2 linked regions of the Caenorhabditis elegans genome follow. The protein of the gene in region 1 purifies or fractionates together with the protein of each later gene. This does not show direct contact. Each region holds a gene or a part of one and is shown on either strand. Other genes may lie near its edges.

The links.
Region 2: the proteins of K07C5.2 (region 1) and gba-4 fractionate together in Caenorhabditis elegans (co-fractionation; one large-scale study listed by BioGRID). This does not show direct contact.

The regions. Positions count from the first base shown.
Region 1 is NC_003283.11:10,337,807-10,341,501, reverse strand, and holds K07C5.2 (NADP-dependent oxidoreductase domain-containing protein), read right to left. Parts: upstream 2,003-3,695; 5' UTR 2,000-2,002; coding exon 1,796-1,999; intron 1,746-1,795; coding exon 1,615-1,745; intron 1,567-1,614; coding exon 1,448-1,566; intron 1,124-1,447; coding exon 774-1,123; intron 728-773; coding exon 626-727; 3' UTR 531-625; downstream 1-530. Other genes in the region: arx-2 (Actin-related protein 2), read left to right, coding at 3,152-3,199, 3,252-3,362, 3,406-3,669.
Region 2 is NC_003282.8:5,344,842-5,352,519, forward strand, and holds the start of gba-4 (Putative glucosylceramidase 4), read right to left. Parts: upstream 6,057-7,678; 5' UTR 5,998-6,056; coding exon 5,931-5,997; intron 4,581-5,930; exon of another isoform or gene 4,508-4,580; intron 4,089-4,507; exon of another isoform or gene 4,068-4,088; intron 3,881-4,067; exon of another isoform or gene 3,860-3,880; intron 3,721-3,859; exon of another isoform or gene 3,700-3,720; intron 3,455-3,699; exon of another isoform or gene 3,434-3,454; intron 2,980-3,433; exon of another isoform or gene 2,959-2,979; intron 2,847-2,958; coding exon 2,664-2,846; intron 2,376-2,663; exon of another isoform or gene 2,367-2,375; coding exon 2,217-2,366; intron 2,172-2,216; coding exon 1,865-2,171; intron 1,816-1,864; coding exon 1,575-1,815; intron 1,458-1,574; exon of another isoform or gene 1,434-1,457; intron 1,043-1,433; exon of another isoform or gene 1,022-1,042; intron 758-1,021; exon of another isoform or gene 733-757; intron 638-732; coding exon 361-637; intron 314-360; exon of another isoform or gene 293-313; intron 226-292; coding exon 1-225. Other genes in the region: Y4C6B.7 (Activin_recp domain-containing protein), read right to left, coding at 6,668-6,742, 6,958-7,063, 7,277-7,356, 7,404-7,455. UniProt on the Caenorhabditis elegans protein: Glucosylceramidase that catalyzes the hydrolysis of glucosylceramides into free ceramides and glucose. C.elegans contains specific sphingoid bases, which are unique or different in structure compared to the sphingoid bases found in other animals.

The DNA.
Region 1 (3,695 bases):
ACAAACTCTATCTTGTAGTAGTATCAAAAAATCGTACTACGAGACCCGAAGAACTCGGGGGATGTCCAACTGGGGGGATTACCAACTCGGGGGATTGGCCCCGCCGACAGAACCGTGGCTTGCAATACGCCCATTTCTGCAACTGCCGCACGGTTTTGAAACTGTATTTTTCTTGTTAATTCTCGCTCTATTGAGAAAAATACAGTTTCGAAACCGTGCGGCAGTTGCAGAAATGGGCGTATTGCAAGCCACGGTCCTGTGGGCGGGGCCAATCCCCCGAGTTGGTAATCCCCCCAATTGGACATCCCCCGAGTTCTTCGGGTCTCCGTACTACGACTCCAATAAAAATCTGAGCTATTTTCGAATTAAAATTTTATAAAAGGAATTGTACTATTATTATATATTTTCAAGTTTGCGGGATGATATGTCTAAAATTCCTTTGAAAAAATTCCTAGAACTACTGTAGTTTTTGAATCTATCTGAACTATCCTGAATAATTTGACAAAATGCAGTTATGGAAAAATTGTTCTATGTTAAATAATGTTTATATCATACAAAAATTAACAGGTAATGCTGAACATCGGAATAGAAATACCTATATGGAAAATCTAAGATGGAAAAAAAATTATAGACATCTCCAAGTTTGACCAATCTGTGGGAATGATTTTCCCTTGTCCAGAGATCTGAGAGATTTCAGCTCGTCCTCGGTCAATTTGATTTTTATGGTCTGGAAAAAAATTATTCTAAATTGTTTGAAAATACAGGTTTCTCACATTGTGTAAATTATCGTGAATTCTCGATGGAGTTGCAGATTTTGGAATCATAGAAGTATTACTGCAGTGTGCAAAAGCATAGAGAATTGCTTGCGGAGTCTGATTGTATTTTTGACAAAGATCGACCAATGGTTTCTCTTGAAGAATTTCTTTATCTCCCCAGCATAGAGAAGAATATGATTGAACGACGATATTGTTCAGATCACAGAACTTTTTAAGAGTTGGACGAGTCAAGTACGGTTGGTATTCGTATTGATTGAGGACTGGACGAATTTTTGCATACTCAAACATTTCAACGAGATGATAAACTTCATAGTTGGACACTCCAATTGAACGAACTCTTCCAGACTCTGAAAAATGTAATTTTTAATTTTTTTTAAAGATGGAATTTTGTAAAGTGTCACAACTGCTCAGTTGTAATACTAACATTATACTTAGAAAATCTAAAAACGGAACTTCATCAATTCATAGGTTGTTTCATTTATAAATATAATTTTCTGAACATTGGAATCTACTAATTACATTGCAATTGCAAAAGTATTCTTAGAGTAAGATGAGAGAATGATTTTTTTGATCGGATTGATCTACCACTATTATTTCAAAATAATTGATAACGCCAACCACGTTGAAAAAGGAACTCAACTTTATATGAAATGACCATGAAACCAACATACCTTTTGCCTTTTCAAGTGTCTGCCAAACAATTTTCCTTCTACTTTTGTTAATTTCGTAGTCATCATCGTTTCCAGTATCACGGTCACGTGGATAGTGAATTAAAAGAAGATCTACATAACTGAAAATAGAAATAATTCTGATGATAACTCAACAAATATTTTCCTACTCGGTTTGCAAAGTTGCAAGGGAATTGGCTAGTTGTTTCTCAGTTTCCTCCACAGTATTTTCATTGAGAGTACGAACTTTAGTAGTGATGAACACATCTTCACGTGTCAAGCCAAATTGTGGTAGATATTTCTAAAATTTTAGAGGTTTGAATAGTTTTTCAGAAATCAGTTTAAATTTACCTTCAGGGAATTACCAAGAAACGTTTCGTTTTTGTAGAGATTGGCTGTGTCAAATTGACGATATCCAGATTTCAGAGCGGCTTCAATAGAGACATCTAAATCTTGTTGAGTTTCAATTCGAGAGATTCCAAGACCAATTTTTGGCATTTCGTATCCATCGGAAAACTTGAATGCACCACCAACAACATTTGTGAAAACACTCATAGTCTGAAAATACATTTAAATGAGATAAAAGAATATAAAAATGGCAAGAAATGAAGAATAGAGGACATTAAATATAAATAAGAGATAGGTAGAGGAGGAGGGGGACAGTTCAACAAACAATGGAAGTTTCATTGAACAATTTTTGAAAGTTAAGATGTGATGTTTGTTGTAATTTACACTATTCAATGGTAATTCATAGACTTTGAACGAAGCGTTCGATCATTGAAACACTCTCTTTGCGAAGTTTGTATTTAGAGTTCAATAAGTTTACTAAACAGAGAAAAATTGAATTAACAGAAGAATGACGTTATATTGTGATCATTTCCAATCACGATAGGAACACTACCATATACACATGACCTATCCTAGTTGTTATGTTGTCTCTTCCCATTTTTCTTAAAATTAACTGAGAAATTAAAATTTTGGATGTGAGGAAGAGCCTTTATTATAAAAAGCCATGTTTCATGTGGAAATAATTCGGTACAATCCATATCGCAACTTATTTATTACAGATGTTGAAAATGTTTTTTTACATAAATATTCAGAAATTTCTACCAAAAACTAATCACACAAGTAAAAAAAATCATAAATATGGTAAACATGTAAATAAAAATAAATGTTATAAATAAAACTAATAAAATAATAAAAAAAACAAAGGTTCATGATTTAGATTTTTTAAATCTGTTTTTACACTACGATACTCTTGCTGCAAATCTGCTCCATCGACAACCAATTCCCTGCGTCTCCACTATAGACAGAACTGTCATGTTTTTATTTCAATAGAATTTCCTTATTTCTTTTCTGTATATTTTAATCTTATAATTGTTTTCGTATTCTATGAAGAACATAAAAATTCTCGCGAAATTGTAGAAACATTTTTCCATCGACTTCCGCGTATTTTGACGGCGATCTCCACTAAATATAGTCAGATTTACTTTCCAGAAACCCTCGTTCATTAAATTAAAATCTAAGTAATGTAAAATATTGCTTAAATGTTCGTACTTTGTTCTATTTTAAGCCAACTAAGACAGTGTCAAAACGAAATTTTTACCGGTTTCATCGATTGGCAAGCAAATTTGCTATTTATTTACTTTTCTTCTCTTTATGACTCATTCGAAACCCGCACAATCGATTTAACAATTTTCAGGCGAAATGGATTCGCAAGGGCGAAAGGTGATTGTCGTTGACAACGGAACAGGTGTAAGTTGCAAAATTTTATCCCATTTTATTTTCAAAAATTCTGTATTTGCAGTTCGTCAAATGCGGGTATGCAGGAACCAATTTCCCAGCTCATATATTCCCTTCAATGGTCGGTCGGCCAATCGTGAGATCGACACAAAGAGTTGGAAATATTGAAATTAAGGTAAAACTTTACACAGAAAGGTCTTATAACTGTTTTCTCACAGGATTTGATGGTTGGCGAGGAGTGCTCTCAGCTTCGTCAAATGCTTGATATCAATTATCCCATGGACAACGGAATTGTTAGAAACTGGGATGATATGGCGCATGTATGGGATCATACTTTTGGACCGGAAAAGTTGGATATCGACCCGAAAGAGTGTAAACTGCTGCTGACAGAACCACCACTCAATCCGAACAGCAATCGTGAGAAAATGTTTCAAGTTATGTTTGAGCAGTATGGATTCAATTCTATCTATGTGGCGGTTCAGGTAATAGTTAATCCTCATGATAAAAT
Region 2 (7,678 bases), on another chromosome or scaffold:
TATTCAATAAAACCACAGTTTTGGTACCATCTTGATTCAAAAATGAAAGACCCTCAACATCAACTGATTTCTCAATAATGTTTATTCCAACACGAATAGCTCCCGGTTTCACAAATTTACTGAATTGAGCCATTACATGCCAAATTGGTTGTTTGTAGTACTCTTGAGCAGTTGCATTCACGATTATTGTTGAATCGACAAAGTTTTTGGCAAGATTTGGTCCTCCTGGAAAATAAATATTAGAAAACTGTTTCAACCTAGTTATATCAAAGATTTAAAATTCTAAATCTGTTTCTTACTATGGTTTTTGATGTTTTTAAATTAAAAAATCGCAAGTGTTGCTACACTTCACAAACCAACCTTGTAAATCAAGAATATAATTCCAATCAACCCATCCTCCAACCCAATTTCCCATATCTTTAATCAAATCATTTGCATATTGTTCAGCTCTAGACCATGATCCCAATTTTGGTCCATCTGCTGGGAAGTATCCAGCACATGCTTCAGTTGCCAAAAGGAAATAGTCTGGGAACTTCTCGTGAGTTTCAGTGAGTACGGTTGCTGGGTCAATGAAGTCTTCATACCAATGAATTGCAATTCCGTGGACGTATTGAGCAGCAGTTGGATCCGTTAAAATCTAAAATTTTATTTTAAAAGAGTGGGGACGTCGGAATGGGATATGATTTTTAATCAAGGGTTAAAAATTCAAATAGGTAAATTCTGCGGATAACTCTTCCCAAGGCCAAAGAAAGATTGATGGCAATAATAATTTTCTTATATTTATTTTGAATGTAAAACAGCACAAAGTTTGATTATTTTATGTTTTTCCCTACTGTTGCATAACTGTTTCAACAAAACGACAACTCACCACATTTGGCCAATTTGGCAAAATAATTTCCTGATTATCATTCATCATAATCTTCAAATTCTAACAATTAGTCAATAAATACTTCATTACACTTTGTTTCATAATTTACCAAAGACTACGGAAAGCTCAAAAATACCTCAATTTTGATTCCCAAAAACAGTACTTTTGTTTCGACTGTTTTGTTTATAATTTCTATATATATATTTATTTTGAATGTGAAACAGTACAATTTTTGAATATCTGATATGTTTCAATGTTTCAACAAATCCATTTTAGCATTACGTTTCTTATCAGTTTTGCACATTTTGTCGTTCGATTTTAATTTTTTCTAAAACAATTTACACAACTGTTGAACTATTCGGTCAATTCAGTAATAATTGTAGGTGAAAGCGAGTTTTAAAATTAAAATAACCGTTCTAGTGTCTTGATTCGAAAAAAATTCGAAAATACTTAATTACAATGGAGTCTTAATAGTGTTAAAAAACGGTAAGTACCTAATAGAAAACAAAAAAATAAACAAAGGAAAGAGCTATAAAAGTTTTGAAAATTTTCAATAAATAAAAGAGGTTTTGTTTCTCGTATTGGATTACTGTTTTGTTTATAATTTTAATATATTTATTTTGAATGTGAAACAGTATCTAATTAATTTTTAGTCATTCAATCATTTCTACCTATTACTCAATGTTTTATCCCACCAATAACTTACTACATTTGGCCAGTGTGGCAAATTAATTCTCTGATCATCATTAATCATAATCTTCAAATTCTTAGTCACTGGTGATGAAGCAAGTGCTGGTCCCAAAAGTTTCTTTATAAAATTTCGTTCCATTGATGCATCGAAAAAGAGTGTTTGCCATTTCCAAAGTGGATCAATTCCAGTTGTTGGCTCGTTTTGTGGTGTCAAAGACCAAAAGTCAATACCTTGAGCGTGATAGGCTTCGAAGAATCTTTCATTTTATAATTTTATTTTTTATTTCTTTGAAAATAAGAACTTACTTTACAAAGTACTGTGCCCATGTCTGATAGTATTTTCCATTCTGATCTCCCAATAGCTCTCCGGCACCAACCATTCTTCCAGAAGTTTTCATCCATCCTGGGGAGCTCCATGGAGTTGCAAATAGCTTTAATTTCCCTCCAGAAGCTGTCATTGCCTTCTTGATAAATGGAATTTTATACTGGAGATCTTCCACTGTTAAATTGAAATTTTTGAGATCAAAATCAAATTTAACGTCGTCATAACTGTACTCGTGAGTTGAAAAGTCAGTTGAAGCCATTGGAACTCGTCCAAAAACATACCCGAGACCTAAATTATTTATTTTTCAAGCTTAATCTTTTGAAAATAACTTACCATCATCGGAAAAGTATTGCTGAATAATTTGATCTTGCATTGTCTGTGGCAGCATCTTCATATTAATTCCAGCAGCATCAGTGAATGCAGCTCCAAATCCCATTACCGGTTGAAAACTTTGAGTTGTGTTCACATATACTTTTGTTTTGGCTACAAAAACGATGTATCATATCAACAATTGTTACAAAATAATTGTGAAACAGTAGAATAATTTTTTGCCAACTTCAAAATAAAAAAATATCATTCTCTAAATTCTAATATTATAAAGGTTTTTGTGTTAGTTGAGCGGTGCCTGCCTCTCTATCTAAGAGCCTGCCTACCGCCTATTTTGCATCAGTTTCGAACCAGAAGTTACTGATAAGCTTCCGGTGTATTCTGGAGGCAGGCAGACAGGAATGCAGGCAAGAATTCTGTGCCTTCATGGAACTTCCTATACAATTAACGTACCTGTAGAAGAAGTTGTATGCTTCAATTCACTTCTGTTCATTCTTTTTCCATTTCTTGATGTTGTATAGACAACTGCTTTCCCAGAAGTAACAGTTCCAAGTGGTTCAATTGTATCACAATACGTGGCATTGCAACGACAAACTATTCCATACTCTTTCTTCACTTCGGAGCAAGGAAGGGACTCTGGAAATTGGCTTCAGTTGTGTTTAGTTAGTTGGAATGGTTTTGGAAATTGTGCAGGACTACGTGTTTAGAAAATGTCTAAAGCTATTTCCAGTTCTGTAAATTGTGGTTATGAAAATTTTTACCATACGAAATACATATTTCAAATTTTACATTTCATAAATAAATTTGTTGAAACGGAATTTTTTAAAACTGTTTTATCCATGTTTTGCCTGCACATTGCAAGCAATGAATACAATACATTAATTACCGTATTTCTTCTATTAGTCTTGCATATGCAATTATGAAAAAGCTTTTTTTAAAGCATTTTTTCTAAAAAAGTTTCTAAAATAATTTTTTTACAGTCTGCTGCCCATTTAGATTAAAGGATACGAAAATTAATTTTGAAGAAAAATAGTTACGATTAGAAAAATATTAAATTTTGCATTTAGCAGATTGAAACTGAGTTATTTTCCTAAAAAAAATTATAACTGTTATCTGTTATCTATTAATTAAGGTTTGTTAATTGTAAACTCTGATAATTCAAATGTTTGACAATTTGAAAAAATCTGATACATATGTGTATAAGCGTAATGAAATCATTGCTCAAATATTGAAAAAAGATACTATTATCAATTCAATACCAATCCAAAACTCATATTATAACACAGAAACAGTAATTTTTTATTGGGATAACAACAAAAAGTTATGAATTTTTTCTTTTTTTACTTTTTTTTACCTCGGAGCAGTAGAAACTTTTCATGTTGGCAATTATGTTAAGATTGATGTCTACAATGATTTTTGAAATGACAAATTTTTTTTTAAATACCGTTTCACATAATCTTTAGAAGTCTTCAAAAAATATTGTTATCGTTGAATCCAATTTAGATGTAGCAAAACTGACGAATCCGAACTAAGAATTAGGGTCTTAATTTAATCGATTTCTGAGTGCAAAAGTCCAGATTTGTCCGTTTTAGTCACATTTGGTTCGCATTTATTGAAATTTTATAAACGCATTTGAGGACAGTTATATCTAATACATTTTCTTGTTCGCAACAGAATCATAAAAGTGTGGGATTTTAACAGATCATGTTGGAACAGAGTTTTTTTTGTGAAAATAAATATTAAAAAGTTGTAGCTTCAAATGCATTTTTCATGCTCGATATTTGTTTTAATTTGTATTTTTAATTTGTAAAACTTCTGTATCAACTTTCCACAATTTCCACATTTTGTTTAAAAAAAGATTTGTTCGAATTGCACGAATTAAGTAATACAAATACTAACTCAAATATTATACCTCGGAAACGGCAATATTTTTCAATGGGAATTTTTAAATTTTTTTAAATAGAAGTTATTAAATGATTATTGAGAATTCAGTTCCATTGAATTCAGTTCCAGTATTACTGTTTCTCAGTCATGATATGACAATTTGTCATATCATAACTGACTAGGGAGTGCTTTCACTATACGGTGCGATCGAGTAAAAGTAAACGTGTTATGCGATAGCTGGCATCTTAGGCTTTCAGAATCTGTAATTTGTTTCGGCGGAAGACCTCTGTGAGTCTGGAAATTTTCATCTGAAAATGTAGTACTGAAATCAGTTCATTTCCTATGGTTAACAGTGGATTTTGTCTCTGGCGCCAACAGAAGTCTCACCACAATGGTGGAAGGGCGAAATCATCGCTTCGGTGGTCGAGTGGTGAACGCGTTCGCCTCTTGAGCAGAAGTTTGTGGGTTCGGTTCCCACACATGGTTTAAATTTTGGCCTTTTTTATACAAAATTTTTAGAACGGGAAACAAATGTTTAAAACAGTTTTTTGAGGTTTTTACATTACTTTTTTGCTTTTTGATTGAACCACAATTACCCTGGAAACTTTTCAGAAATTTTTATTTTTTTCGAAAATTGCCACTTTTTTCTCCCATGAGAAAATTGGTTCCAAAAATTTTGTTTGAAATTTTTTCAAAAATGTATGAAATATTGTAGAGTGTCACGAATAACTTATTTTTCATTGTTTTCAATGACCGAATCACTGATTCTGATGCCGTATCAAGACGTTTTACCAAATCGATATTGGCAAAACATCTTGTTTTTGAGGCTCCATATCTCTGCAGAAAAAAATCGCACTAAAAGTGATCAACTAGAAACTTGTTAAACACAATGTGATCTAAAACTTTTCAGTTGAACACTTTTTTGTAAAAAATTTGGTTGCCAGGTTGGAACCAATTGATTTGAGCGTCATTATTTTTGAATATTCTAAATAGTTAAAGGTCTATATCTTGGGAACCAAATTTTTTACAAAAAAGTGTTCAACTGAAAAGTTTTAGATCACATTGTGTTTAACAAGTTTCTAGTTGATCACTTTTTAGTGCGATTTTTTCTGCAGAGATATGGAGCCTCAAAAACAAGATGTTTTGCCAATATCGATTTGGTAAAACGTCTTGATACGGCATCAGAATCAGTGATTCGGTCATTGAAAACAATGAAAAATAAGTTATTCGTGACACTCTACAATATTTCATACATTTTTGAAAAAATTTCAAACAAAATTTTTGGAACCAATTTTCTCATGGGAGAAAAAAGTGGCAATTTTCGAAAAAAATAAAAATTTCTGAAAAGTTTCCAGGGTAATTGTGGTTCAATCAAAAAGCAAAAAAGTAATGTAAAAACCTCAAAAAACTGTTTTAAACATTTGTTTCCCGTTCTAAAAATTTTGTATAAAAGAACCCAAAATTTAAACCATGTGTGGGAACCGAACCGACAAACTTCTGCTCAAGAGGCGAACGCGTTCACCACTCGACCACCGAAGCGATGATTTCGCCCTTCCACCATTGTGGTGAGACTTCTGTTGGCGCCAGAGACAAAATCCACTGTTAACCATAGGAAATGAACTGATTTCAGTACTACATTTTCAGATGAAAATTTCCAGACTCACAGAGGTCTTCCGCCGAAACAAATTACAGATTCTGAAAGCCTAAGATGCCAGCTATCGCATAACACGTTTACTTTTACTCGATCGCACCGTATAGTGAAAGCACTCCCTAGTGAGAAACAGTAATATTTTTTTAGAACTTTTCTAAACACTTCCAGGCACTTCTACTACTCACTTGCATCGCTTGAAAATCCATAAAACGCCAGAAATATTAGCAAAGAAACGGATATATTCAAAATCATGATAGCCTAGTCTAGTGTATTCCGTTAAAACCGGACACTTTCCAAGACTACTAATGAATAAATGATAAGAACAATATTTGAAGACACTGACCACGTTTTTATAAAGACTAATCAGTTGGAATATTCTGATCAAAAAATAATTGAAACTGATAAGAAATTATGGAAAAAAGAAGGGAAAACACATAAATTATTGGTTTCAGGCTGCTAACTATGCAGGACATATATAGATAATGACGGGGGCAATGGACAAATCATGGTATGATAAAGTTCGTGGTATGAGCGTGAGTGAGCTACATGTTGTCACCTATAGTGATCTGAAAACAATAAAGAAATTGGAACTTTAACATATTATTAGCAGGTTCAAAAAATTTTACCGTTTCAGTGTTTAAATTTAATTACGTGGGAAAAATTAATGTAATAACACTCTCATGGTATGCTTTTTACTGTCGTTTCATAAAAAAAAAACTTGCACAATTTAATGAGATTTCAATTATAGAAGAAGTACGAGTTGGAACGAACCGTTTTGATGCTTCTGTAAATTTTATTATTTTTTGAAAACTTTGTTAAAAGGCTTTTTTTTTATTTTGAACATTTATTTCATGCAAAATGAACTAATCAGTTAGGGAAAATTTTAAACCATTAGAAAAATAATAAATTTTTTATTAAGAAATCAAGGAAGCTCGACAAAACTGCTCTTCCTGGTTGGAGCGACAGTAGTTGGAATTTGAACGATGTCTTCACTTTTCTGAAAGTTTAAATTTTGCTGTAATTTTAGTGTTATTTAAATAATTTGAAAACTAAAATTTCAACTGAACCATAATAGTTCAGCATTTTGGTTCAAATCAGCAAGCAATTGTTTTAGTCACTTGAAAAAATTACTGTTTCACAAGTTTTACTTGATTTTCAAATTTCATTAGAAAATTGATCTCATCCTATAAAGCAATTTCAATGCACACGAACATTCTTACGGGTTGCTGCAGTTGGCATGATGACGTCACCGAGTTTTGGAGCACTTGGAACAGCTTTCGATTTTGAGCTAGTTTCTCCGGCTTTGAACTCGGTTCCGCTGAAAAAAATTGTTTTAAAAATAGCCAATATATAGATGAAGTCTGCTTTAAGATTTTTCGATTCAACTTTTTTTCTAAAAATGTGTAATGAATCTTTATATATTTTTTTCTTTTTTTCTTTGGAATCTATTTAAAAATTCTTGTAAGTATTTCGTACCTAAAATTTTCGTATTTCCTATTTCAAAAAAGTTTCACAAAAAAAAGTAACTTACTCTCCCTTCCACTCGTTACACTCATCAAACTGGCAGCAACAAAAAGTGGAATCTTTGGTTTGGAAATGGCATCCGGTCATCTAAAATTGATATAAATTGTCTGATGCTCAGAAAAAAATGAACCAACCGGACATTTCTCCTCCATACTGTGCTCATCGCTCCACGAACTGCATTCACGTCTGCAAAATTATTATTATTCTTGGGCGTAATGTTAAGCATGTAATGTTAAACAATTAAATTGAATGAGTTTTAAAGAACATGTGAAACAGAAAAATTTTTATTATTTGAGTTAAAGGAAATCAAGAAAAATTTCATTGTTTCTGTTTTACTGTTTCTGATTAGAAATTAAGAATTCACTTTAATTTTGTTTTACTATTAATAAGCTTGGATCTCAGAGAGATT